Cricetulus griseus: one gene and its partners. The main gene of each other region encodes a partner of the protein of the gene in region 7 in a complex. Links are inferred from orthologs where the notes say so. Each region holds a gene or a part of one and is shown on either strand. Other genes may lie near its edges.

Region 1 (4,168 bases), on a different chromosome or scaffold from region 7:
GCCTTCAGTTCATCTCAGCAGGTGCACACAATCAATCATCCAGTTCTTGTTTTCTATGGCTAGCTTGTAGCCCCCCAGCCCTCCCCCTTGCTTTCTCCCCAGGGATCAGGATAGTAAAGGCATGGGGTTTGTGGTCCTAAGGTGGAGCTCCTCATGGCAGTTCAGCAGGATGAGGCTCAGGGGTGTGTGGTCTCCAGGTAGAAGAGGAAGTTCCCTCTGGGATGCACCATAGTGCCCAGAGCTGGTGTTTCAGGCATTCTGTAGCAAGATGCCCTCCTGGGCTAGGACCTGTGTTCTGTGCCCGTGGAAGAAACTGAGGACACAATTCCAAGTTTCATGGTGATTCAGAATGGAGAAAATCCTGCAAGAGAAAGGTGTGGTCCATCTGGCCGCCCTCATCCAGCTCTTGCAGGATCACCTGAGCTATCTAGCCTGGGGGGGAGGTGTTCTGGCTTTGAGTTGTTCTCAAGAGCTCCAGATCTAGACTTCACTAGACAGGAAGATCTCACCTGGCTCCACCTCTGCAGGAGCGGGATTCCATCACCTTAGCATTTTGCTGAGGGGTGGGGTAGACTTCACCTTGCAACTGGATGTACCCCAGAGTAGGGCATTATGGGCTTCTGGCTGGGTACTGCTCGGATGCCAATGCTACTTCCTGTTATAGTTCCCCTGCAGAAAGAAGGAATTGAATGGGAACAGACATGGGGCTGGGTCCTAAAAGGAGCTAGATTTGGAAAGTGCCTAAGTATTGACAGCCAGAAACAGGACTCAGGAAAAGCAAGAATTTTTTTTTTTTTTTTTAAAGAGACATCTCACGTTGTATCCCCGATTGGCCTCAATCTCGCGACAATCAGTCCTGCTTATTTCCCGAGCGCTGGGACTGTGTCAAGCTTGGAAAGCAGGGTTTCTATTGAATTCCGTTGGGCGCAAAGAGCCCTATATAGAGAGTCAGACTGGAGCCCACAGCTTCTGCTCGGCCTTTGTCCCTCCATCCAGGACTTGGGAACCTCTTTTTTTTTTTGGTTTTTGAGGCAAGGTTTCTCTTTGTGACTTTGGAGGCTGTCCTGGAACTAGCTCTGTAGACCAGGCTGGTTTCGAACTCACAGAGATCTGCCTGCCTCTGTCTCCCGAGTGCTGGGATTAAAGGCGTGCGCCACCACCGCCCGGCCTTCAGCACCTCTTTAAGCAGACAGAGCGTCACGTCCTCACCTGAGTCTCCATTTCAGAGGAATAACAAACACTTGCCGCCATCCTCAAGCTAAGTAAGGCTGGGGCTGGTATAGGAGTTCACGCGAGTCTTTTGGGGTCTTACGTCACTTCCTGCGGAGACTGTCTTGACCAAATGTACACATCCGCCCGTTCCGACAGTCTTTTGGATGGGAGTGAAGCAGCTTCCGGCCTTATGGAGGTCTCCACAGTCTCCTTCCGGGTTATGGAGGCGAGTGCCCCGGATGTAATACTGGCGAAAGCATCTTTCCTTTCTTTCCCCGCCTGACCCCGGGCTCCTCGGTGAGCGCCAGCCGGTAAGACTGTTCGAATCCCTGCGAATTTGCTTCCTCTCTAATTTGTGCGCCGACTCTGACATGGTCTAGCAGCTCGCTGCGTGGAACTGGGGGTCCTAAGCAACCAGGGCGCCAGCTCTTGGGTCCGACCGGCCTCTGTGGGCACTCGGGTGGGAGCTGGGGGAGCCCTGTAGCTCCGCACTGGTAGGGGAGTGGTGACGTAGGGGAGCCTGGCTTTTTTTCCTGCGTGGGAGTACGCACAGGGTCCGCGCGGGGGCGGAGATCCGCCCGTCAGGGCCTCTGAATGAATTGCCAAACCAATTCCCGACGACCCGCCTGCTAGCGCTTGAGATGGTTCAGTGACCCTTCCTCGCTCAAACGGGACCTGGCGCTTACCAAGGAAAATGTGGTGCCACAGCGCTCTCGCGGCCGGCTCTCCTTACCTAATTTTCTTACTCCGTATCCTTTTCCGAGGTCCAGCTGGAGGAAGTGTTCTGCCAGTCATGCCAAAGAGGAAAGTGACTTTTCAAGGTGTGGGAGATGAGGATGATGAAGATGAAATCAGTGTCCCCAAAAAGAAGGTGAGATGGTCAGACTCCTAATGTCTGTGGAGGACTGAGGAGAAATAAAAGGAAGGAAAGCTGAGAAGCGAAAGAAAGGGTTAGTTTGCCCCGGTGCGCTGGGTTTGGTAGGTTTTCAGTTTGGATACAGATCCTGGAATATTTGGGAAGCTCGCCAGTAGGTTGCCTTTCTCATTTGCTGGTTTCTACTCACAGCTGGTGGACCCTGTGGCTGGAGCAGGGGGTCCTGGGAGCCGCTTCAAAGGCAAACACTCTTTAGACAGTGATGAGGAGGATGATGATGATGAAGGGTCCAGCAAGTATGATATCCTGGCCTCAGAGGATGTAGAAGGTGAGTTATTCCCAAAACATTAGCTGTGTTGGAGGGCAAGTCTGATTATGGAGGTGGGAAGTGTGCCTGTCTCTTTTTTGCATGCCTAGCATGGGGCCCCCATGTCTTTGGTGCAGGTCAGGAAGCAGCTACTCTCCCTAGTGAGGGGGGTGTGAGGATCACACCCTTCAACCTGCAGGAAGAGATGGAGGAAGGCCACTTTGATGCTGATGGCAACTACTTCCTGAACCAGGATGCACAGATCCGAGACAGCTGGCTGGACAACATTGACTGGGTGTGGCCCAGGAGCTGTCCTGGCTGAGGCCTGGGAATGCAGGTGCTGGGCCTGGGCCCTGGTGGAAGTTTGTAGGAAATAATAATTATCTTTCCCTTATAGGTGAAGATCAAGGAGCGGCCACCTGATAAGCACCAGGTTTCAGACTCAGAGGAGGAAGACAGCCTGGGTCAGACTCCGATGAGTGCCCAAGCCCTCCTGGAGGGACTTTTGGAGCTGCTGTTGCCAAGAGAGACAGTGGCTGGGGCACTTAGGCGTTTGGGGGCCCGAGGAGGAGGCAAAGGGGACAGCAAGGGGACTGGACGGCCCAATTCCCCACAGCGCCTAGACCGGCTCTCTGGGTTGGCTGATCAAATGGTGGCTCGAGGCAACCTTGGTGTATACCAGGAAACAAGGGAACGATTGGCTATGTGTCTGAAGGGTTTGGGGTGTCGGACTCAGGGATCCCATGACCCCACACCTCCACCCTCCCTGGACATGTTTGCTGACGAAGTGACAGAGGGAGAACTGGAAACCCCGACCCCTGCGCATAAAGGAGGTAAGCTTTTAGGACACAGGAGAGGCAATGCCAGTGGGAGACTGGGCACTTAAGGCCGATACGTCTTTGTTGTCTTAGAAGCAGAGTCAGCGGGAGATGGTCTAATGGATGTGATGTGGGAATATAAGTGGGAGAACACGGGGGATGCTGAGCTGTATGGACCATTCACCAGTGCCCAGATGCAGGTCAGTGGCTTCCTCCTGTCTTGTCTGTCCATCCCGACTTCTGTCATCTTTCCTAAGTTTTGTCCTCTCTTCTTACAGACCTGGGTGACTGAAGGCTACTTCCCGGATGGTGTTTATTGCCGGAAGCTGGACCCTCCAGGTGGTCAGTTCTACAATTCCAAGCGCATTGATTTTGATCTCTACACGTGAACCTGCTAAGGGCCCAGTGTGGTAGCCCCTTTTTCTTGGACTTGGCAGAGGAGGCCCCAGCTGCCCTGGGCAGTGAGGATCTTGGAAGCTACTCTTCAGCCACTTTCCCTTTCCCAATAAAAGCCTTGAGTGTGCATCAGGGCCTTGATGTGCTGGTAGCCAGAAGCCAGGGCTCCTCCGTAGCTCCTGTTGGCTTACCTGGCCCTTGAGTGTCTCCTCCTTCCTTAGATGCTTCTCTCTGGTGTCTTGGACCACCTCGGTTTGTTTTCCGCCCTTGGTGGCAGTAGTAGGGCCCGTCAGGTGTCCTGTGACTTGCCATGTCAAATTCCCTTCAATCACTCTATTCTCCTATCTCCCCTGCAAGTCCTTGTTTTGCTGATCTTCAGCTTTTAGGACCTCAGATTCTCTGGCCTAGTAACCCCTTTGCAGCTGGGACATTTGGAAAAGTTTGAGATCCTATTGAGAACACTCAGGAGGCCTCTTAAACATGGGTTCTCCTCTTCTCCCTAGTCTGATTTTTCCTTCCCTTGCAGTAGCTCCCATAGCTCTTAGGTGAAGCATGAACTTA
Region 2 (3,954 bases), about 240 Mb from region 7:
GGCTCCGCGGTGGGCTGCAGCCTTGGCCGGCGCCGAGGCACGAGGGCGAAGCGGCGGCGGGGTGGGAGCCGCGCGCCCCGGACCGCACGGCACCGCAGGTGAGAGCCGCCGCCGCCGCCGCCGCTGCACCCGGAGCAGCCTCGGGCTGGTCCCCACAGCCGAGACCCGCGCCCTCGTCCTCCACGCGCAGCCCGGGCTGCTAGGCGGCGGGCGCGGGGGAGCCCGGGATGGGGGCGGGGGCGGGCGGCGCGCCCATCATCGCCGCCGCCGCGGCCGCAGACCCGGGCTCCCACACACGCCCCTCTCGGCTCCGGCCGATGGAGAGCAGTTCCCCTGCCAGGACCCGGGGAAGAAAGGGGACAAAATCCTGACAGACTCGTGCTCACCGAGAAACCGTGGGGGGCTCGCGCCTTACCCCTTCTTCATGCTTCGGCGGCGGTCGCCGGTCCCGCTCCGCGCTGGGACTTCACCGAGAGCCCCTCGGGAGCGCCGGGCCGCGGGGTGGAAGCCGCGCCGGGCACTGGCTGGGGCGCCGGGCCGCCGGGAATGCCGCCGGGGGCGCCACTGATGGCCCGAGCCGCGGTGCGCGCGACGCGCGAGCGAACAACACCGCGAGCCGCCGCTGCCCTGCGCCGCCCCCTCCCCGCGCGACGCTCCACAACCGGGCGCGGGGACCCGCGCCTGCAGCAGGGGGAGCCGCGGGGCGCTCTCCGCCTCGCCCCACAACCTTCCCCCGGAGCTGCGCCAGGCGGGCCCCAGGTCTCCGAACTGAAGATTCGCACTGTCCCCTTGAGTCCCGCAGGGCGTAGGGTCGCAGGGCGGGAGACTCAGCCTCCGCTCACGTACTCGTCCGTGGGCAAGAGGACGGAGCTTCCCCCTGTCCTGAGGCTCCGTGGTATTGCCCAATCCGCACTTTGGGGGAGGGGGCCGCAGAGAACGATGCTGGGCTAGGGAATGAGGGAAGATGATATCCAATTGAATGAACCATCCTTTGGGGGCGGGGTCGAAGGCCGACCCCTCAGCCCGGCTCCGCCTCCTCCCTCCAAACTACAATTCCCATGGTGCCTCGCGCTTCCCACCGCTCTGCACGCCGGGAGTGGAGGACCTCGAGGCTTCAAAGGTATCTCAGAACTGTGGGGCTTTAATCAACGAGGTCCTGAAAGTTATAAGTAGTTGTAATTCCTTGTGCTTATCTAGATTAATGTTTGCGAGTCTCAGATACTGATGCAGTCAGAGTAATAATCATTATATTTTTTTCAGGAAGTTATAAATGATTTTTTGTTAAAGAAGGTAAATAAAGTGTTCCTTGGCAATCTGTCAGGACCTGGGAGTCGCTGCTTCTTCCGCCCTGGCCTGACCACAGCAGAGAGGATCTGTTGCAGTCATGTCCGCTGCGATTGCAGCTCTAGCTGCTTCGTATGGCTCGGGTTCAGGGTCCGAATCGGACTCGGACAGTGAGGGCAGTCGGTGTCCGCTGCCAGCCGCCGACTCTCTCATGCACCTGACCAAATCGCCTTCAGCCAAGCCCTCTCTGACAGTGGCGGTAGATTCGGCTCCGGAGGTGGCGGTTAAGGTAAGTGTTTTGGTCACTGATGGGTGCGGGAATTGGTTTCAGATCCCAAACCGCTCGTCTCCGGTGAGGTGCTGAGAAGTAAATTACTAGCGTTTACGCGTCGTCCCACATCTTCCTCCACTACCCCTCTGCTGTCTCCATCGCATAAAAGTGGTCCAAGAGGGGAAGAAAGTTTGAATTCTAGGCTAGGACGTAGTCTTATTAGAGCAGAAGTTTAGAACATAGCTAAAAGCGCATCAGGACTTCCTAACTAGAATTTGTGCCCTCACCAGAAGCGAGCCGTGGCCAGGCACTGTTTTGTTTTTAAGAAACTAGTCTCGAATCCTGGCTTCACTACTTGCAAATTATACAACTTCCTCTTGTATAATGGAGATAGTTGTTTAAAAACTTACCTATACCGGGGGGTTATTGTAAAGATTAAGTGAAATTATATAGTAAAGTTTATATAACACAGAGCCTAATAATCTAGTAAGAGGGCAATACATGCTAGCTATTTGTGATTGTATATGTTAATACAACGAGTGGGAAAGGGGCATAAGCTTTAAGAAGTAGCATGCATGGACCCAATGAAGGAAGGTGATAAAGGAAAAAACCCAGCTATGTAGTTCTTTATTAAGCACGTATCATTTTCCAGAAACAACAGGACTGAAAGCCACAGAGGCCAACAAAACCGAACATACTGGGAGCATTAGTGCATACTGGAATCAATTAGATGTGGACAAAAATGTAGTTACAGATTGGATTGAACACTGGGAGGGGGAAATAACCATGGTAAAGAATAAGGTAAGGCAGGATGGTGGTGGTGCAAGCCTCCCAGCACTCAGGAGACAGAGGCAGACAGATCTCTGTGAGTTCAAGGCCAGCCTGGTCTACAGAGCCAGTTCCAGGATAAAGCTACACAGAGAAACCCTGTTTCAGGAAGGAAAAATAAAGAAGAAGGTAGCAGTGTGATTTTTGTAGAATGCTCAGATCCTCTCTGAGGGGAGATAAAAAGTCAGTTCAAAGAAATCGAAGCCCTGTAAACTAAGGCAAGAGTTTGCAAGCTTAGGTGACTTGCAAACCTAGGAAGGCAGAGATTTGGTGTGTCTGGGGCTGATGTCTTAAACTCAGTGAGAGCATCGTCAATCAGTAGTTAGCTCCATGTGGGTGTTCAAAATGTGGAGAGGAATCTGTACAAAACTTCCCTCGGAAGATGGGAGGAGCGAGGGAGGTCTTGTTTGTGTCTTAAGTCTTTCACAAGTTTTGACGGGCCATTTATGAAACTTTTTTTTTTTTTTAAATAAGGACATCTGGCATGAAAGAATGCTGGGAATTCTATCTTTAGAACAAAACAAAGCTCTCCCAACTGAGGACATCTCACTAGCCTCCTCAGTCTGTTCCGTAGAAAACTAAGCTTTTGGTTCTGCATTCTTCCCATCTTTGTCACAGCCCCCCCCCCCCCAAGCTCAGTGCAGTCTAGCCTTAGCTTCTTGATTAACAACTTCATGGGAATGATGTCTTAGGCCTTGCATTAATTGGTCCTTCCATCTGACTTGAATCTCTGCATCAAATAACATTGTTAAAGGCATTGATGGCATATACCTTTAATCCTAGCATTTGGGAGGCAGAGGAAGGTGGATCACTGTGAGTTCGAGACCAGCCTGGTCTACAAGAGCTAGTTCCAGGACAGCCTCCAAAGCCACAGAGATTTTTTTTTTCACATATATTTTTCACATATATTTTCCTGTCTTGGAAAAAAACAAACAAACAAAAATCAAAAAAAAAAAAAAAAGAATTTCTCTATCTCAATTCATTTTTTCCCTGCAGCTTCCACTGAGTATTCTGCAGCCTCTGGATTCCCTCATCTTCTGCCAGCCCCTTCAGCTTTAGTGCCTCCTAGGTCTAGGCCCTTATTTCAAGTTCCATCCCCTCAGAGGTGACTACTGTGAAGAAGTTAACATAGGCATGAAATGAGTCAAGATTCCAGTGTTATTCAGATCTACCTCTAGCACTACACACATGGCCACTTGGATATATTACTTAAGAGCTAAGCCAGTTCTTATTCATCTTTCAAATAGGTTTAGCTACTTATTTTCAGAAATTCGAAGCAGTTTTAACTGTATCAAATAATACATGCTGATTAAATGCCAACTACCCTGATAAACTGTCCTAAACTCCTTGCCAGCTTAAGTATTAATAAAAAAAAAAAAAATCTCTCCGGGTGGTAGTGGCACACGCCTTTAATCCTAGCACTTGCGGGGCAGAGGCAGGCAGATCACTGTGAGTTCAAGGCCAGCCTGGTCTACAGAGTGAGTTCCAGAACAGCCTCTTAAGCCACAGAGAAACCCTGTCTCAACCCCCCCTCCCCAAAAAAAAAAACTCATCCAGGATGGTTCTTAGGC
Region 3 (3,500 bases), on a different chromosome or scaffold from region 7:
AGGAAAATACATCAAAAACAAAAAGTAAAATGAATAATTACAATGTTTTAGTTCCTCCAAATAATTTCCTAAATAGTTGCTGACTCTACAACTAAATTATCTCAATTAAAAAACAATTACCTCACCTCTTTAAGTTTACTCCGAATTAAATTTGCCGTTGTATTCAAGGAGTCATCCTGCAGATCCACTGTGGGAATTCCTGGTAACTTAGGTCCAATCACAACCTCGTTACTGCCTGTGTTTGTTTCAGGAAACATTCCAAGTTCATGATCACAGTTTCTCCTTCTTTTCCTCTCCTGCAGCTGTGTTGTCCTAGGCATAAATCTGCCGACTGACTCTGAGGTAGTAATGACCTCTTGCCCACTAGAGCAAGGTAGTGAATTCTTGTAAGTGTTCACCTGTACTTTTGGGGAAAAGGCACTGTAGTTACAATGCTCTGATAGTTCACTATGGTTCCTACCGCTACTACAGGAATTTGATGCTCTGTCCATATGTTCCCCAGGTAAAAAGTTGCTTTGAGAGGCAAAATAGCATAAAGGCAAGTCACAAGAATAAGGAAGAGAAGGACTTGAGTTCTCAGGAGAAGTGTTCAAAGAAGTTGTGCAAAATCCAGGCATATGTGGATGGAAATCTTGTCTAGAATCATTTGCTCCTTTTTGCTCTGGAACCAGTTTCTTCTTTGTCATGTAATAGTCTTCAAAGTTGTATTTTTAGACATTGAGGGAAAGATAAACAAATGTTTCATTAATCATTTTGATCATTCAGAATCTTGTAATTCTAAAACCACACTCTACTCCCCAAATGATACTTCCAGAGCAGGGAAGGCACTGATAAGATTTAAGGGCTTTCTGAAAGGATAGGAAAGGGTACTGTGTCAAGCTTTCCCTTCTCCTTGTTTTCCCTACTTATTTAGTGTATTGTCTTATTCATCTATCTAAAATGCCTCACAGTTCCCCTGGAGCCTCCTTGTCTCCCTAGTCAAAAGATAATAAAAATCTATTCTTTTACATTTTCCACTAACTGTAATCTTAGAGAGTTTCCCATACCATTGCGTAGAAACCTTTACAGTTTCAGAATATTCTACTATATGGATAAACCATGTTTAGTTCCTACTTGTGTCAGGAGAAACTCAGTTGGACATGTGGACATTTGAACCAGCTGCTGATCAAAAACTGGAGTTCTCCCACCAGGAGTAGCACTTCTAACTGGTTTGCAAATCACAGTTGCTTCTTGCTGCCTTCATGTTAGTCACTGGATTGCTTAGCAGGTGACACATGGCACTTCATGATTTGCTTCCTGTCTACTTTCCTAATTTCTCTCACTAAAACCTTGGTATTTTGGTTACCCTGTAGGACTTACAGCTCCTTAAACGCATGATGGCAATTTATTTCCCCAGCTTTAAACGTGTAGCCTGACTCACCCTGCCATCCTCTCCACTCCCCTTCTGATAACATTTGCTAAAATTCAACCATCTCTCAGATCCCATAGGAAATATTCCAGGAACCAACACCCTGTCTTTCTTGCCAAGACTGTACAGTGCTACACAGAACCCTGTGGTTCAAGTCACCAAAGGCCATAACTGAGCAGGGACTCCACAATGACACACATCCCTAGTAGTGCCCCATACACAGGGAGTGTTTACAACAGACTTTCCGTACCTTTGTTTTTAGTAGCTCTTGCAATGTAAGCCTTTCTTTCTTCTAATTTTTTTCTAGTTTCTTCAACTGTCTCAAATTCTGGAGCATAGCATACATGAAGTAACCCACCAAAGAAACTCTGCTCATCCATCTTTTTCTTAGCTACCCTAAAGGGAATTAGATAATTTAAAGAGAACTCAAAAGAGAAACACATAAATTACATGGCTTTTTATTTATGCCTTATATACACGTGTATTCTGCATTCAAGTATATGCTCATGAGTACAGATGCCTAAGGAGGCCAGAGGTGATGGAGGCCCTGGAACTGGAGTTACAGGCAGTGGTGAACCGCCTGACATGAGGGATGGGAACCAAACTCCAAATTTGAGATCTCTGGAACAGCGATAAGTGCTCTTAGCTTCTGTGTCATCTCTCCATCGCCCAGATACATAGCTTGTTTTCTTTCTTTCTCTGCCTCCCCAAGTACTGGGATTAAAGATATGTGCCACTACACCCAGAAAATTATTATTTTTATTACTTTCAATTATGTGTAAGTATGTGTAGAGGCTCTGTCCTGGAGCTAGAGTTTACCGACACCTGACCTGGTTACTAGGAATCAAACTCAGGTCCTGTGGAAAAGCAGTCCATGTTCTTAATTGCCGAGCCATCTCTGCAGCCATGGCTTTGTAATCCAGATTTACCTAAGATAAAAGCTTAATAGGTATTCCATAGGTTTAAGGAGCAAACTGTGTGTGTGTAGGGGGGGGGAGATAGGAGGCTGGGTAAGATGCTTTGTTTTGGATGATGCCACTGATCCAGAAAGTACTATTTTTTGTTTGTTTTGTTTTTGAGACAGGGTTTCTCTGTATTGCTTTGGAGGCTGTCCTGGAACTAGCTCTTGTAGACCAGGCTGGCCTCGAACTCACAGAGATCCTCCTGCCTCTGCCTCTGGAGTGCTGGGATTAAAGGCGTGTGCCACCAATGCCCAGCTCAGAAAGTACTCTTAATAAAAAGATTTATTATCTATTTACTTGTATGTATGTGTTCTGTACATTTGTGTGCATGTGCCCACAGAGAGAGACCAGAAGTCACTGGATCCTGTGGGGCTGGAGTTACAAGTGGTTGTGGGCCACCTGACAAGGGTGCTTGAGAACTGAACCCGTTCTCTGAAAGAGTTGCAAGCTATCTTACCACCCAGCCATATCTCCAACCCCAAGAAATTCTTTTCTCTCTACTCATAATCTCAATAGGTATTCAGCTAAGCTAGTCACACTTACCTATTCTTTTTTAAAAGAATAACTCAGGATCCTACTAGTTAGCTTGAGTTAATAGAACTTGTGAGCCAAATATATAACTTGAAGCTGGTAAGATGGCTCAGCATGTAAAGGCCTTTGCCACTAAGACTGAAGACCTGAGTTCAACCTCTGGGGCCCACATGGTCGGAAAGAACCGTCTCCTGTGCGCGTAGGTACACACGCACATGAACAAGTGGAAACAGTGAAAATACAACAGCTCACCAATGCAAAATTAAGAACTGTTGCTCCTTCTGGGGCTGGAGAGATAGCTAAGGGGTTAAGAGCACTGACTGCTCTTCCAGAAGACCCAGGTTCAAGTCCCAGCATGGCAACTCACAAGTGTCTGTATAACTCCAGCTCCAGGAGATCTGATGATCCACAGGGTCCTACATGCATACAGGTGAATAGGCTCACACAACCACACCACATACACACAAAAATAAAAGAGAAAGAAATAAATTGTTTTCACTCAAGAGATACTGAATACCTATTCTGAACCAACACTATAATAAGTAATCAAGTACTTCTGTTATCTACAGATAATGATTAATTCTTATTGAGATATTACC
Region 4 (4,007 bases), on a different chromosome or scaffold from region 7:
GCAGAAGGATAACAAACTCAAGATCATCCTGGGCAACTTAGCAAGGTCATGTCTCCAAAATTCAGAAAGGGGTGGGGGAAGTAGTTCTGCTACAGAACTCTTCCTTATCATGTGCAAGGCCCTGGGTTCAATCCCCAGTGCTTGATGGAAGAAGAAACAGAATTGTGGGGGTCAAGTGAAGATTCACCAAACACTTAACCCCCTATAAGAAATAGAATCTTCCTGGCTTTCTTTTCTTTGCCACATTGACAACAATTCCTTGTCATTTTTATTGGGAAGATTGTATACCATTTTCTTGAGAGATAATACCAAACGTGGAAAGGTCAATACAGGTTTGATGAGACCAATCCACTTTTCAGTCACAATATTGGGGGTGGGATTTGTTTGACTTCCCCTAAATGGCACTGTTCCAGTATACTGTCTACCAAAAGGTATTTATACCAATAAAAATAACCGAAATAGTTCTACTGGTGGTTTATTGTGGGCAAAAGAGCTGGGGGTCATCAGTAGGTACACCAGCTGGGTCAATCCAGCTGTCTTCCCACACCTGATCGTGGTACTTCCTGGTTCTTCGTTTATAAGGTCACCTCCACCAAGTACATACAATTATTTATAAAGAGCTCCTCATCTCCTTGGTGCCCTAACTCTTAATGGGCTTGGGAGTCCTCTTCCTCCTGCTCTGGGTTGGCATCTACCTATGAGTCCTCAAGGGTATCCACCAGGCAGCTTCACCAAGTCCCTGCTTTTGTAAATTCTTTCTTCTTTCTTCTTCTTCTTCTTCTTCTTCTTCTTCTTCTTCTTCTTCTTCTTCTTCTTCTTCTTCTTCTTCTTCTTCTTCTTCTTCTTCTTCAATAATGATAATAATAACTGAAATAAACTAATTGTGCTAGGCATTTGGCACAACATCCGTTATTAAAATGCTATTCAATAACTTGCCCCCAGTGGCACAGTTACGATCGGTCTCGTATTCAAATAGGTGCTCTGATCTCCTGAGTTTCGGTTCTTCCCTACTCCGGTGCAGTCGTCAGGGCAGGACTAGTTAAGTCGGCCTGTGACCTCTTTGCTGGAACAGTCCCGGCTGAGAGCGTTGCACGGATGTGTCGTCACAGGAAAGCAGAACGGCCCTACGATGCATTCATGCACCTCCCCTTCCCCACACCGAGCCTGTAAAGACATTTTTTAAGAGTCATGACACCTATCAGCCCCAGTAGCTCCATAAGGGCCACTCCTAGGGCTTCCGTTTCTGGCTCCACCCCCATCCGTTTCCCGTAGAAGAATTTTTGTCCCCAACGCCGAGCCGTTGCCCCGCCCTCGCCGCTGCCATGGCGGCAGCTCTGCCGCTCTCCAAGGCTGAGTATCTGAAGCGTTACTTGTCTGGAGCAGATGCTGGCCCGGAAGGAGGTCCAGAGTCGGTTCGGAAGCGGCGCAGAAAACGGCCGAAGCCAGGAGGCGCCGGTGGCAAGGGGTGAGTGGACTGATGGGGCATCGCGCTGCCCCTTTGCGCCCTCGGCCGCAGCTCTTCCTCCTCCCCGCCCGCGCGGCGCTGCGAGCGCTGCCGACCCAGGCCCGGCCCCGCTGCTCCCGAGCCGGCTCTTCGCCGCCGCCTGCAGCTCAGACCTCGTCCTCTGAGCAGTGTCTTCCATGCGTTAAGGCCAGCTAGAACTTAGAACTTCCTTACTGTTTTCCCGCCTTTGTAGCCTTGTATCGTCCCTCGAACAGATTGAAAAGTCGTGCCCTGAGAGTAGTAGAACTAATTAAAAGCCCCAGTGATTGCGGTTTTTTTTTTTTAATGTTAGAATTCAAAAATCTGTTTCTGGGGCCTTCAAAGTATTAGGAACTGATCTGGAACCAAAGATCTAAGTCCTGTTATTCTTGCCTACTACTAACAGTAACAACTAATATGGGTACAGTTCCTATCATGTGCCTGGCCTCTTTCTAAAAACTTTGACCATATAACTTTCAGGACATTGTGGTGAAGTAGACATTGTTTTAAATAATATACTTTCCAGGTTCGAAAGAGGGATGTGCTGAGACAGATTTCGGATGCAGTGACTTGGCCACTGGAATCTGGAAAGGTTGGGATAGGAGATCCAACATCAGCCCACAGGACAAAAGAAATTATAGACTTTAGAGCAGCGACCCTAAGTTTAGCAGCTTGCTAAGAAGGTACTATTTTGGATACAAGGTCGAAACTCTGGAAGCTAATCCCGTTCTTATACACCATGCCTTGGGTCTGCTGCTTGCTAAGAGCTTAGCAGCTTAGAGAATATAAAGTGTGGTTCACACCCCTCTATGGGGGAACCATCGTGAGCTGACAGTATTATTCTCATATTTCTACTGAGAAAATTCTGTGGCCCATTGAAGTGGGTAGACTAATTCCCTAATTCCCTCTTTGCCCAAATTTACCTTCATTTGGGACTTCAGCATGACATCAATCTTTGTGGTGTTACTAGTTGAGCCTATATTCAGTTAAGGTATGTGGTAAATTCAGTGTGGTTCTTTTTTTTTTTTTTTTTTTTTAATTTTTCGAGACAGGGTTTCTCTGTGGCTTTTGGAGGCTGTCCTGGAACTAGCTCTTGTAGACCAGACTGGCCTCGAACTCACAGAGATCTGCCTGCCTCTGCCTCTGGAGTGCTGGGATTAAAGGTGTGTACCACCAACGCCCAGCTCAGTGTGGTTCTAAGAAGGAGCAATGCCATTCAGGGAACATGGTTTAAGCTTTGGAACAGCACTAACTGGAATCTGAATCCTAGCAGTGCTACTTTATAGCCTGGGTCATCTTGGGCAAGAGAGTTCACCTCTCTGAGACTCGGAGTCCTAGTGGTCCTGAACACTGCTGTTTGTCTGAAATGGCTGTTGTGATTAAAGATGTAGCATGTGTTCCTGGTTTTTCAAATACCTCTTTGCAGCACAGATCACATCCATTGGATGCCATCATCTTTCAGCAGTTGGTACACTGGTTACTCAAGTCCACAGGTACTTAAGTTCCTCCACACAATGATACAGTATTTGTGGGTAAACTATTCATATCCTCTTTAAATTGTCTCTAGGCTACTTACAAAACCCATTGCAACTTAGGTGGTGTACTGGCTGGATTTGTGTGTCAACTTGACATAAGCTAGAGTCATCAGAGGAAGGAGCCTCAACTGAGGAAATGCCTCCATGAGATCCAGCAGTTAGGCATTTTCTCATTTAGTGATCAATGTGGGAGGGCCCAGCCCATTGTGGGTGGTACCATCTCTGGGCTGGTGGTCCTGGTTCTATAAAAAGCAGGCTGAGCAAGCCATGGGGAACAAGCCAGTAAGTCGCACCCATCATGGTCTCTGCATTAGCTCCTGCCTCCAGGATCCTGCCTGTTTGAGTTCCTTCACTGATGAACAGCAATGTGGAAGTGTAAGCCACTTGGGAGGCAGAGGCAGGTGGATCTCTGAGTCCAAGGCCATCCTGGTCTATGGAGCAAGTTCCGGGATAGCCAGGGCTGTTATATAGAGAAAACCTGTCTTCAAAAACCAAAACCAAAAAACAAAAAGGTGGACAGTGATGGAGTGAACTGACAGTAGGAGTCCATATACACAAAGACTGAGCCATACTTTTGAACTTTAAAAGCCAAAAGGTGAGATGGCCCAATGCTTGCCAACGAGCCTGACAGGCTGAGTTCAATCCTCTGAACCCACATGGTGGAGGGAAACAACTGACTCCTGCAAGTTGTCCTCTGACTTCTATATGTATTCTATGACACACACACACACACACACCCCGTCACACATACACACACGATAAATAAATGCCAAAAAACAATAGGTAAGTGTACATAGGCCTGTGTCCCAGAATGAGTTCTTTTTTGAGGCTTTTATTGTTCTCATCTAGAATGCGGATTGTTGATGATGATGTGGGCTGGGCAGCTATTTCTACCACTAAGCCGGAAAAGGAAGAGGAAGAAGATGGAGATTTGCCTGTGGTATGTTATCTTTTGGAGTCTTGTCAGGACTTTGAAATGATCCAAGCAT
Region 5 (3,981 bases), on a different chromosome or scaffold from region 7:
TGCTGGCAGGGTGGGGAGCCCTGACACACTTTCAAAAGCTCATGCCCAGCCAAGAGCGGGATGTGGGGACAAAAACGTCAAAGGGGGATGTGGGCCACATGGTGGAGAGGCTAGGAACGCCACGCCTGGGTAATGTCTTAACTTCTTAGCCAATCAAGGAAGAGCATGCCAGTTGTGCCAGTGTTGGGAAGGCTGAGGCTCAGTTACAAGTTCAATGCTAGCCTGGGCTATAAAAGGAGATCCTGTCTCAAGATTTTGTAATCTTGAAAAAAAAAAAAAAGTATTTGAAAGAACGATCCAGACCCAGGGTCCATGAGAGAAGATGAATATATAGAATAACGTGCACAGGCCACCCTGTGGGCCATCCGCATTAGAACCCAGCAACTGCCCCGTGTGCCCGAGGCTGCAGCCCTTCACGAACCATTGGGACTGGAGCCTGATGCCACAGAAACAAACAAGAAATCTAACAACTAAGCCAAGTGTTGTGACGCAGGCCTGGCATCCCAGCACTTGGGAGACTAACAGGGTGTTCAGGGCCAGCCTGGGCAACATGGCAAAGTCAAGAGACCATCCTGGGCTGCAGCGCTTGTGGGAGGCCAGCGCGCATTACAGAATGAGTTCAAGGCCAGCATGCGACTGTGTCTCAGCAAGCGACGCTCACCAAACGTCCTGCCTCGGCACCGGGTCGGGGCGCATCCCGCGGCACCCGGAGGCCCCCACGGGTCCCCCGCGTGTTGCATTGACTGACCCAGAGGTGAGGAACCCCTCCTGCCCAAGGTCACGGAGCAGAAGCCGGGATGCAGGGCTGCAGGCACCCGGGGACCCTCCCGAGCCCCTGGGGGAGGAGGACGGGGACTCGCCCCATTCTGCAGAAGAGGAAACTGAGGCTGGCAGGGGCGGCGGCGGCAGTTGGGGCCCCGGGGCGCAGGGCGGGCTAAGCCCGGCCCGAAGTCTGCGGTGGCGACAGCGAGGGGACGACAGCAAGGTCTCGGCCACGGTCACGAGTGGTGCAGCCGAGCCGACCAGCCGTGGCGCTCACCTGGGCCGCGAGCAGCAGCAGCAGGGCCGCGGCGAGCCGCGCCGCCGCCATGTCCGCCTGTCCTGCCGCAGCTCTAGGCGGAAGGTTTCCCGGCAACGCCTTCGGGACCCCGAGACGCGCACGCGCCGGCCCTGCGCGTGCGCGGGCCCGCCCCTCGCTAGAAGTGGGCGGTGCGGAGCCTGCGCAGAGCAGCGCAGGTCGGCAAGATGGCGGTGAGCATTGCTGGGTCGCGGAGAGAGCGGGGTTCCCCCCGAGGGACTGTAGACGCGAAAACTGGGGGCACAGGAGGACCAAAGAGAGGGGGGCGGACACCCGAAGACGGATAGGGAGACAGGGACGCGGAGGAATAGGAATCACGTGGGACTGCACACCGGGCGTCTTGAGGAAGCAGACCGGGAACCTGGGGAAGCAGACCCGGAACCTGGGGAAGCAGACCCGGAACCTGGGGAAGCAGACCCGGAACCTGGGGAAGCAGGCGGGGAACCTGGGGGTGCAGACCCGGAACCTGGGGGTGCAGACCGAGGAACCTGGGGGTGCAGACCGGGGAACCTGGGGGTGCAGACCGGGAACCTGGGGGTGCAGACCGGGGAACCTGGGGGTGCAGACCGGGGAACCTGGAGGGTGCAGACCGGGGAACCTGGGGGTGCAGACCGGGGAACCTGGGGGTGCAGACCGGGGAACCTGGGGGTGCAGACCGGGGAACCTGGGGGTGCAGACCGGGGAACCTGGGGGTGCAGACCGGGGAACCTGGGGGTGCAGACCGGAGGGGGAACCTGGGGGTGCAGACCGGGAACCTGGGGGTGCAGACCCCTGGGGGTGCAACCTGGGGGTGCAGACCGGGAACCTGGGGGTGCAGGCAGGGGACATGAGGATATACACAGGGGGCATGGGAATAGAGAGAGATGCAGACTCAGCGACCTGGAATTTAGTTGGGGGAACATGGGAGATGGAAATGAGTTTGCAGACAGTTATGAGGGCTGCAGGATGGTCAAAAGGAGTCGCTGGGTGCCGGGTCCAGGCAACAAGGATATGGGAAGACTGGGTCTCACTCCTCAGCTCCTCCACTCTCCAGCAGGACAAAGAGAAAAAGAAGAAAGAAAGCATCTTGGACCTATCTAAGTACATTGACAAGACCATCCGAGTGAAGTTCCAGGGTGGCCGGGAAGGTGAGTGGATGCAACAGGGCCCCTAAGAATCGGGGTTGCGACAAGCAAGGGAAAGCCTCACAAGGCAGGCATTTTAACTCTTAACAAAGGCTAAGCTTGGGCCATCCTGTTACTTGAGAGGTACCAGTATGTCTCAATTGTGGATGGGGAAAATGAGTCCCAGGGAAAGAAAGCCAGGTGCGGTAGCACCCACACCATTATTGCTGGAGCCTGAAGGAAGAGGCCAGAAAGCTGGGAGGACATAGAAGAAGGAGGCAACAGGGGGATGGAAGGAAGGCATCCCTTCAAGAGCCTGGAGGTAGCAGGGACCCAGGAGGTTTCCAGTAGCAGGATCAGGGAAAGTTCCAGCCAGTCTGAGCTATGTGGCAAGACCTGTCTCCAAAAATCAACCAGGGCTAGGCTATAGCTTGGTGGATAGAGGGTTGGTTTAGTGTGCATAAAGCCCTGGATTTTATCTCCAACACCATGGAAACCAGGTGTGGTTGTACAAGCCTGCTATTCCAACCCTAGGAAGGTAAACACAGAATCGGGAAGTTCAAGATTATTTTCAGGTTGCCTAGTGAGTCTGAGGCCAGCCTGGGCAAATGATACTCTCTCATACAAATGGGAGGGGAAAAAAGGCTATTTTGTGTTACATGGAAACTATACAGAATTCAGTTTGGGGGATGATAACATTTTATTGACACTTGGTCCACCATGAACTCACTATCTATGGCCCCTTCCACACTTGTAGGAAGAGAGTTGGGGGTCATAGTCAGCAGGCCACCACATAGGGACATGTCTCCCCATGAGTTCTGTAGTGATAACTGTCCCCATGCCTGGGTCTGTAGTGGGAGGACAATAACATCATCCTTACCCATCTCTCCCTTCAAGCCAGCGGGATCCTGAAAGGGTTTGACCCACTGCTCAACCTGGTGCTGGATGGAACCATTGAGTACATGAGAGGTGAGCTGGCTGTGGTTGTCCAGGGATGCCACCAGGCCCTGTTTCTTCTCCACACCTGTGCAGTCACATTGCCGCAGGTGGTGCTGACCTAGGGTGCAGGTCCCTCCCTGATCACCAGAAAGGTGACAGGCCCACCATGATGGCCCCAGGCTTGAGATTTCAGCTCCTTCCCCTCAGCCCTCCTGGGGATGGCAGAAATAGTAGCTACTGTCCTCTGTCTGGATTGTTTGCCTGTGTCACCAGCTCCAGGACGCATAGGATCTCAGCTTATTCCAGAATAGTACCTGTAATGCCCAAAGAGTGTCCCTTCCTCTGCACCCACAACAATTACTTTCTAATTGCTCCCTGTCTCCACCTCTGGTCCATCCTCCCCGGGGCCTCTGCTTCCCCTGCAGACCACTCCTTGGGGTGAGTATCTGCCCTGGGTTCTTGTAGTATCCATGCCTACAGTCGGCTCTGAGACCCCAGGGCCTGGGTGTGTCAGTCCCCAAAAGAAAGATGGGACAGCCCTCTGAGGTCCTGGTTGTGGAGTGCTGGGTGGAAAGGACATGTCTTCAGTTCCTCTTGCCTGTCACCCCCTATTCCCACCAGACCCTGATGACCAGTACAAGCTGACAGAAGACACACGGCAGCTGGGGCTTGTGGTGTGCCGAGGCACCTCAGTGGTGCTCATCTGCCCACAGGATGGCATGGAGGCTATCCCCAACCCCTTCGTGCAGCAGCAGGATGCCTAGGTGGAGAGCGATCTGGCCCCAAGGACCTTCCTTCCTGTGTGAACTTTGTTTGGTGTTTTACTTTTGGATTTTGTTTCTGGTTTTTTATTTTGTTTTT
Region 6 (4,069 bases), on a different chromosome or scaffold from region 7:
ATCTTCAAACAGCAACTTGGAAGCAGAGCGCAAACACACTGTGAGGCTTTAAACTCCAGTCACTTACTTCCTCCAGCCAGGCTGCACCTCCTAAACCACAAGAGCGCCACCAACTGGGAGTGTTCAAATATGTAGGTCTAGGAGAGGCAGTTCTCATCAAACCACAAGTTGTGAAGCTCTTTCACTTTACTTAAACCTATAGGCAGCACATTTACATAATGTAAAATCATAAATACCCATATCAATCTTAGAATAACCAGGCTTATAGCTGAGACCAACTTTTCTAACAGATAAGCCTTGGTTGAATGCCCATTAGGCAGGACACATAGGTCCAACAATCTTTTTTGCATTTACCTCTTAGTTTTGGGGTATACTTAACAGAGAATGTATACTAGTTACAGCCTGAGGGGAAGGGAGCCTAGGAGGATCACTATTACCACAAATCCTAAAGGCAAAATGATTGGGTTTTATGTAGGCCCCAGAGACAAAAACATGGCAAAGCTTTTTAAGCAAAGCATCCTGTAGACAGAATTCCAGTCCTTGGAAGGATGAGGTGTTCATTTGTAGCGCTGAAGATTGAGATGGGGCTTTACCACTGAGCTGTCCTGGAACTCGAGCTTGTAGACCAGGTTGGTCTCTAACTCACAGAGATCTCCTGCCTCTGCCTCCCAAGTGCTGGGATTAAAGGAGTGTGCAACCACTGCCCGGCTTACCCCCAGCTTCTTTTTGTTTTTTGTTTTTTCGAGACAGGGTTTCTCAGTATTGTTTTAGAGCCTATTCTGGAATTGGCTCGGTAGACCAGGCTGGCTTCGAACTCTCAAAGATCCGCCTGCTTCTGCCAACCGAGTGCTAGGATTAAAGGCGTGCGCCACCAACGCCTACCCCCAGCTTCTTTAAAGGGCGTGGGAAGTATATTTCTCCCCTCCAGTGAAGTCCAGCAACCACCTCTTGAAAAGTTCCCACGCCCCAATTCTCAGTCTTTTAAACCCCTCTCCCTCCTACTATGCTAGTCTCACTGCATTGCTAGCATCTATGTCTAACTCAAAGGGCATGTCTTGCCTCCGGTCTGCCCTGTTGTTTTTCTCTTAAACTCGAATAAAATCGTCCTCGTAGCCATGGAGGAAAGACAGGCATAATCCCAGGTCTACCGGGACGTCAGTGCGCAAGGCCTCAAACAAAACAGTCCTTAAGACCTAGCGGCTACAGAATCAGCCGCTCTGCACACGGCCCGAATCCGAGAGGCGGCGCTGTGTGTGACGTCATCCCGCGCGCAGGCGCAGTGGCATAGCAGCGAGCCGGCGCAGACTGACGGCGTTGGTGGAGCAGAGTGCCGCGCAATGGCAGGCACGGGTTTGGTAGCCGGGGAGGTGGTGGTGGATGCGTTGCCGTACTTTGACCAAGGCTACGAGGCTCCCGGCGTGCGGGAAGCGGTGAGTATGGGGCGCGTGCGGGGGTGGGGGTCACCCGAGGCATGGTTCCCTTTCTCGCCTTGACCCCGGTTTGTTCTCTTTCTTAGGCTGCGGCCCTGGTGGAGGAGGAAACTCGCAGATACCGACCTACCAAGAACTACCTGAGCTACCTGACAGCCCCGGATTATTCTGCCTTTGAAGTAAGTGCGGTGTCCTGAGTCCCGCATCCTGACCAGGATTCTTGCCGGCTTAGATTTCGGATTGAGGGCTTTAGCTCTGGAAGCAACTGCTGCTTGCTGCTCATGTTGCATGTCAAGATCAGTTGGTTCAAAATAGCCAGATGAGCTTTCCTCAGGGTTCGTATTACAAGAAATACTTTATTGGTTCTGCAGACTTGTTTAATAAAATATTTGGGTCTTTTATTTTTAAGAGTCCCTAGTAAACTTCCCTAAAGGACCCCTTATCCTTTATTCTCTAAGGTCCAGTCAAAAACAGGTAGTAATCACGGGATTTTAATATTTATAATCTTAACTACCTGTACTCTTTGCAACCACTGAAGGGAGATTTTTGTAACAAAACTCAGATAGTTAGCGGATATATGAATGCCTGAACAAACATGCCTAACTGCATACCATTTAAAATTGTTATCCTACAAGTGCAACCAAAATACCATTTAGGTCCTAATCAGGTGTTCATTTGCAAACTTTTAAATGCTTTAATACATTTTTTCTAACCTTTTAAAATGCAGCGCGGTTCCTGCCTTTATAATTAGTGTTCTGGTTAATTTAATACTTTCTTAGTAGTTGTTAATGGTGTATTGAACTATTTTTCCTAGCTCAGAAAATGGTCCTATGAATTACATAACTGTTCATTTTTATTCTTCTGCCAATTAAGGTTTTTAAGGCTGGAACTCATGCTAGCCTATAACTCACTAAGACAGGTCAGCTTTGAACTTGGGATAATCTTCCTGCTTCAGGCTTGTGAGTGTTGGAATTACAAGTGTAAGTCACCATGTCCAGCTCTTGATGCAGGATTGTGTGTGTGTGAGTTTAGACAGAGCCTCAAGTAGATCAGGCTGGCCTCGAACTCACAGAGATCCGTCTGCCTCTAGGTGCTGGGATCAAAGCGTGCGCTGCCACCCCCTATCGGAAAAGCTTTTTAATTTGTTGCAGTTGCATGTATGAATTCTTGTTGCTTCCTAGACTACTGGACTCCTATTCAGAAAGTGCTTATGTACTGTCTATGCAAACTGAACAGAATATGCAATGTATTACAGAACAGAATAGGCACAGTTCGTATCCTCATAATACTTAGATTCTAGTTTTGAGATGGGCAGATAAATTAAAAAGTCTCGGATATTTTTGATAAATGCCAAATAGAAAATTAATGATGTTGCTGGTTGGCTGTGGCCCACACCTTTAATCCCAGAACTCGGGAAGCAGAGATAGGTAGATCTCTGTGAGTTCAAGGCCAGCCTGATCTACAAAACAAGTTCTAGCACAGCCAGGGCTACACAGATGTGATAGCAACTGGGTGACTGTCATACATTAATTAGATGGTTGAGAGAGGTTTTTCAGGCAGAGAAACTGCTCCCTGTGTGGGGTTAGTTGTTGTGATACCTTCCTCATTTAGAACCCAGGTTACAACTGTGTTGTAACCCCTCCCGGGGTTTTTATAACTCCATGTGATTAGTTCAGAAATCAAGTCTCAAATCCAATGTTTCATCTTGTGACTTTATTGAAGTCGAGGTTTTAAACTGGAGTATGTGGGATTTACACTGTGTCACACTACACAGCACTAGAGACTGCCTGAAACATTTGGCTCAGATTCAAGGCTCTCATATGTTGTGAAATACAATGTAATGTGTGGCTGGGTAAAAGTTGTCTTCACAGCTCCACAACTGATTGCAGTGCATTGAAAACTGCTGATTGAGGGTTAATCCTTAACACACAGGTTCTTTTATGTTTGCCTCCTTTTGTGCCTGGGCAGACTATAGAATTAAAGTGGGTGTCTATTTCTTCAAGACCCTAGATAAAATTAAGCCCAGACCCAAACTGGGGGATGGTGAAAGTGTAGCATAGTGGGAGAACATGTGTGAGACCTGGGTCAAATATTAATATCCTTTAAAAAGGGAGATGGGGTTGGTAATTGAGAGAAGCAAAAAGATCCATTATAATGTAGTACAAAGTATAAGATCTCAGTAAACATTATTTTCAACCTGATCCTGGTACTAATTCTTTGTGTTGTTTCTTCATCAGACTGACATAATGAGAAACGAATTTGAGAGGCTAGCTGCTCGACAACCAATTGAATTACTCAGCATGAAGCGGTGAGTGAGGTTAGGCTTGGGGGGAACTCGACAGCGGTGGCTGAGGTTGGGAAGAGCATTGCCAGCTGTGTGGAGGCCGTGAGCAGTGAGATTAGAAGATACAGTGCTGCCAGTTATAAACATGATCACGGCCTTTTTTCTTTAAACAAAAATGTTAGCAAATATAATACATTTAAGCAACTTTCAAAAAGATGGTAAGGCAGACTTTACCCAAGAGGGGTCTCATCTCAACAGGGATGAGAGACATCAGAGTCTCTGTGACTTTTACAGGTTAACTAGTTCACATTTATGAAAATTTTTTTTTTTTTTGTTACAGCATACAGTTGTGTTT
Region 7 (3,500 bases):
TGGGTGGCAAGTTCTCACACTTGCAATCTTCCCATCTTAACCTTCTGAATGCTGGCATTGTAGGCTTGTATTTAAGGGGATTCAAAGTGGGTATTTTAAAAAGTGTGTGTGGGCTGGGCATTGATGGCGCATGCCTTTAATCCCAGCACTCAGGAGGCAGAGGCAGGCGGATCTCTGTGAATTCGAGGCCAGCCTGGTCTCCAGAGCGAGTGCCAGGATAGGCTCCAAAGCTACACAGAGAAACCCTGTCTTGAAAAAACAAACAAACAAATAATAATAAATAAAAAATAAAAGGGTTCTGTGTGTGTGTGTGTGTGTGTGTGTGTGTGTGTGTGTGTGTGTGTGTGTGTCCTTTAGGAGGCAGAAGAGGGTTCTGATCCCTTGGAGCTAAGTTAACATGTAGTTGCTAGCCACCCAGTGTGGGTACTGGAAACTGACCAAGGATGCTATGCATCAGATACTCTGGAACACTGAGCTACCTCTCCAGCCCTAGTATTCAAATTTTTACATCAGTACATTCACGTAACTCCTTTCTGAATAAAAGAAAGTGCTATGCTTTAGGGGATATCATATATTTTATTCATTTAGAAAAATTACATGGCAGTATTAAATGAATTTCTTTTATAATAGCAATCACCTTCAGAAAATTGCTAATCTTTTTCCTTGTGACATCCAGGCTATTTCTGTTCATTTTAATGTTTATTTTTACATATTTGCTTAATCGCCTATTATGTAAATATATTTATATTTTGGCTTTAGAGTTATTTTAGGAACTGCTAAATAATATTTAGAGCCTGCCATGTACCAGGCATATGCAAAGCATTCTTACTTGTAATCTTTCACAATGAGAGAGCACTTGCCTATTGTGCTTGAGGCTCTATGCTCAATCTCCACCACCACAAAAAATACAAAAGACAGACAGAAGACATGCATATACTGTTGGGGCTGGAGATGGAATCAGTGGTAGAGCACAAAGCCCTGGACTTGAACCCCAGTGATGAACAAACAGGGAAGGGCAGAACTCCTAGATACTCTTGTGACTGTCTTCCAGAAGAGGCTCAAAGGACTCTTTGCCTAAACATGCTTTCCATTTTCTTTCTTCTAAAAATATATATATGCATATACATACATATGTATTGTTTCTATATACATGTTATAAGATGAAAAATCTTAGTTGTTTTCAGTTTCATGTTTACTTTATATAATTTTGGGCATTACTTTCAGTAAGTCAGTTATCTGATTTTGTCCCTGGTTGACCTGGAGCTTGCAGCAGTCCTGCCTCTGTCTCTAGTGATGATCTTTAGTTTTGTTTTTGAGACTTCTGACCTCAAATATACTATATAGCTAAGGGTATCTTTGAACTTCTGACCCTCTGCCTTTCCTCCCAAGTGCTGGAATTCAGGGGTGCACTTGGCATCCCCCCCCCAAAAAAACAGGGTTTCTCTGTGTAGTCCAGGCTGTCCTGAAACTCACTCTGTAGACCAGGCTGGTCTCTAACTCATAGAGATCCACCTGAGTGCTGGGATTAAAAGTATGCGCAGCCACCACCTGGCTTTTTTTTTTTTTTTTTTTTTTTTTTTTTTGAGATGGCCTTATAGCCAAGTTAGTCTGGAACTCTGTTCAAGCTGGCCTCAAATTCAAACTCTTTCTTCATCTGCCTCCTGAGTGCTGGGTTTAGACATATACCACTAAGCCTGGCATCTGGTATATATAGTTGTGTTTCTCTTTTTTAGATTTTTACACTTTATTTGATGTATATGAACGTATGTGCACCACATGTGTGCCGGGTGCCAGAGTTGGTGAGAAGAGGGCGCTGGACCCCCTGCACCTAGGGTCACAGATAGCTGTGAATCACCATGTGATGCTGGAAGCCAAACCCAGATCCTGTGGCAGTACAGCAATACTCTTAACCTCTGAGTCCTTTCCCCAGACTCAAGTTTGTTTGATTTATTTGTTGCTGTTGTTGTTCTTATTGCTGGGGTTTTTTTGTTTTTGTTTTTTGGTTTTTGGTTTTTTTTTTTATATATATATAAAGATTTTATTTATTTATTATGTATGCAGTCTTCTGCCTGCATGCCAGCAGAGGGCACCAGATCTCATTCAAGGTGGTTGTGAGCCACCATGTGGTTGCTGGGAATTGAACTCAGGACCTCTGGAAGAACAGTCAGTGCGCTTAACCTCTGAGCCATCTCTCCAGCCCCTTGTTTTTGTTTTTGTTTTTTGTTTTTTTGTTTTTTCAAGACAAGGTTTCTCTGTGCCTTTGGAGGATGTCCTGGAACTAGCTCTTGTAGACCAGGCTGGTCTCAAACTCACAGAGATCCACCTGCTTCTGCCTCCCGAGTGCTGGGATTAAAGGCGTGTGCCACCAACGCCCGGCTACTGTTATTTTTAATGTAAGGTCTCTCTATGTGACCCTGTTTGTAATGGAACTGTCTCTGTAGGCCAGCCTGGCCTTGAACTCAGAGATCTGCCTGCTTCTGCTTCTAGAATCCTGAGCCATCGTGTCTCTACTTCTCTTTTCTTTCTTTTTTAAGATAGTGTCTATGCAGTCCTGGCTGTCCTGGAGCTCACTTATGTAGACAAGCTGGCCTCAAAGTCACAGAGATCCTCCTGCCTCTGAGTGCTGAACTTAAAGGTGTGCACCACCACACCTGGCCTTTCTCTGCTGTTTTTCAATTTGAATATTGAGTGCAGTTTTGTGTTTTTATAGGTTTGGGACCTGCGTCAAAACAAGTTAACCTATACCATGAGAGGCCATGCAGATTCTGTCACCGGCCTGAGTTTAAGTTCTGAGGGATCTTATCTCTTGTCCAATGCAATGGACAATACAGGTAACTTTGGAGAACAAAGCTGTTCTTGGGCTAGTGTCTGTTGACCCTAAAAGGGAGGAGGAGTTGGTATTAAATGAAATGCATTGGGGAAGCAGTGATTGGACTCAGCTAGTTAAACTATCTACATTCAGACTAGATTACTTGAATTTGATCCTGGGACTCGAAGGCAGCTGGGCAGTGATGTTGCACACTTTCAATCTCAGCACTTGGGAGACAGACACAGGCGGATCTCTGGGTTCAAGGCCAGCCTGGTCTATAGAGTGAGTTCCTGGACAGGCAGGGCTGTTATACAGAGAAACCCTGTCTCAAAAAGAAAGGGGGAGGGGCTGGAGAGATGGCTCAGAGGTTAAGAGCACCGATTGTTCTTCCAGAGGTCCTGAGTTCAATTCCCAGCAACCACATGGTGGCTCACAACCATCCGTTATGAGATCTGGTGCCCTCTTCTGGTGTGCAGATATACATGGAAGCAGAATGTTGTATACATAATAAATAAAATCTTTTAAAAAAAAAGAAAGAAAGAAAGGGGGGATTAAAAAGAGCCTTAGCAATTAGTATTGTGTTGTATTGGTCCTCCTCATGAAGGAGACAGTATTTGTTACTGACATGGAAGCTGCTGGCTCATAGTTGTGTTTGTTGCTTGACTGGTTTGGATTTGCTTTGTAGTGCGAG

Evidence for each region.
Region 1: Snrnp40 (region 7) and Cd2bp2 share a complex: the UniProt entries of both Homo sapiens proteins name them as parts of the U5 snRNP complex. The link is inferred for Cricetulus griseus from reciprocal best matches to the Homo sapiens genes SNRNP40 and CD2BP2.
Region 2: Snrnp40 (region 7) and Cdc40 share a complex: the UniProt entries of both Homo sapiens proteins name them as parts of the postcatalytic spliceosome P complex. The link is inferred for Cricetulus griseus from reciprocal best matches to the Homo sapiens genes SNRNP40 and CDC40.
Region 3: Snrnp40 (region 7) and Rbm48 share a complex: the UniProt entries of both Homo sapiens proteins name them as parts of the minor spliceosome. The link is inferred for Cricetulus griseus from reciprocal best matches to the Homo sapiens genes SNRNP40 and RBM48.
Region 4: Snrnp40 (region 7) and Bud13 share a complex: the UniProt entries of both Homo sapiens proteins name them as parts of the minor spliceosome. The link is inferred for Cricetulus griseus from reciprocal best matches to the Homo sapiens genes SNRNP40 and BUD13.
Region 5: Snrnp40 (region 7) and Lsm7 share a complex: the UniProt entries of both Homo sapiens proteins name them as parts of the U4/U6-U5 tri-snRNP complex. The link is inferred for Cricetulus griseus from reciprocal best matches to the Homo sapiens genes SNRNP40 and LSM7.
Region 6: Snrnp40 (region 7) and Bcas2 share a complex: the UniProt entries of both Homo sapiens proteins name them as parts of the postcatalytic spliceosome P complex. The link is inferred for Cricetulus griseus from reciprocal best matches to the Homo sapiens genes SNRNP40 and BCAS2.

What each region holds. Positions count from the first base shown.
Region 1 is NC_048596.1:73,578,268-73,582,435, forward strand, and holds the start of Cd2bp2 (CD2 antigen cytoplasmic tail-binding protein 2), read left to right. Parts: upstream 1-1,368; 5' UTR 1,369-1,523; intron 1,524-1,976; exon of another isoform or gene 1,977-1,982; 5' UTR 1,983-2,005; coding exon 2,006-2,083; intron 2,084-2,278; coding exon 2,279-2,414; intron 2,415-2,530; coding exon 2,531-2,688; intron 2,689-2,790; coding exon 2,791-3,226; intron 3,227-3,304; coding exon 3,305-3,411; intron 3,412-3,489; coding exon 3,490-3,600; 3' UTR 3,601-4,168. UniProt on the Homo sapiens protein: Involved in pre-mRNA splicing as component of the U5 snRNP complex that is involved in spliceosome assembly.
Region 2 is NC_048595.1:263,393,118-263,397,071, reverse strand, and holds the start of Cdc40 (pre-mRNA-processing factor 17), read left to right. Parts: upstream 1-1,154; 5' UTR 1,155-1,384; coding exon 1,385-1,573; intron 1,574-3,954. UniProt on the Homo sapiens protein: Required for pre-mRNA splicing as component of the activated spliceosome. Plays an important role in embryonic brain development; this function does not require proline isomerization.
Region 3 is NW_023276806.1:221,961,466-221,964,965, forward strand, and holds part of Rbm48 (RNA-binding protein 48), read right to left. Parts: intron 1,805-3,500; coding exon 1,659-1,804; intron 695-1,658; coding exon 126-694; intron 1-125. UniProt on the Homo sapiens protein: As a component of the minor spliceosome, involved in the splicing of U12-type introns in pre-mRNAs.
Region 4 is NC_048597.1:158,021,261-158,025,267, forward strand, and holds the start of Bud13 (BUD13 homolog), read left to right. Parts: upstream 1-1,207; 5' UTR 1,208-1,322; coding exon 1,323-1,465; intron 1,466-3,867; coding exon 3,868-3,958; intron 3,959-4,007. UniProt on the Homo sapiens protein: Involved in pre-mRNA splicing as component of the activated spliceosome. As a component of the minor spliceosome, involved in the splicing of U12-type introns in pre-mRNAs.
Region 5 is NC_048598.1:101,634,295-101,638,275, reverse strand, and holds the start of Lsm7 (U6 snRNA-associated Sm-like protein LSm7), read left to right. Parts: upstream 1-1,181; 5' UTR 1,182-1,245; coding exon 1,246-1,251; intron 1,252-2,111; coding exon 2,112-2,205; intron 2,206-3,078; coding exon 3,079-3,150; intron 3,151-3,741; coding exon 3,742-3,884; 3' UTR 3,885-3,981. Other genes in the region: Sppl2b (signal peptide peptidase-like 2B), read right to left, coding at 1,040-1,090. UniProt on the Homo sapiens protein: Plays a role in pre-mRNA splicing as component of the U4/U6-U5 tri-snRNP complex that is involved in spliceosome assembly, and as component of the precatalytic spliceosome (spliceosome B complex).
Region 6 is NW_023276806.1:53,787,774-53,791,842, reverse strand, and holds the start of Bcas2 (pre-mRNA-splicing factor SPF27), read left to right. Parts: upstream 1-1,269; 5' UTR 1,270-1,337; coding exon 1,338-1,430; intron 1,431-1,516; coding exon 1,517-1,609; intron 1,610-3,667; coding exon 3,668-3,738; intron 3,739-4,069. UniProt on the Homo sapiens protein: Required for pre-mRNA splicing as component of the activated spliceosome. Component of the PRP19-CDC5L complex that forms an integral part of the spliceosome and is required for activating pre-mRNA splicing.
Region 7 is NC_048595.1:22,668,699-22,672,198, reverse strand, and holds part of Snrnp40 (U5 small nuclear ribonucleoprotein 40 kDa protein), read left to right. Parts: intron 1-2,710; coding exon 2,711-2,831; intron 2,832-3,494; coding exon 3,495-3,500. UniProt on the Homo sapiens protein: Required for pre-mRNA splicing as component of the activated spliceosome. Component of the U5 small nuclear ribonucleoprotein (snRNP) complex and the U4/U6-U5 tri-snRNP complex, building blocks of the spliceosome.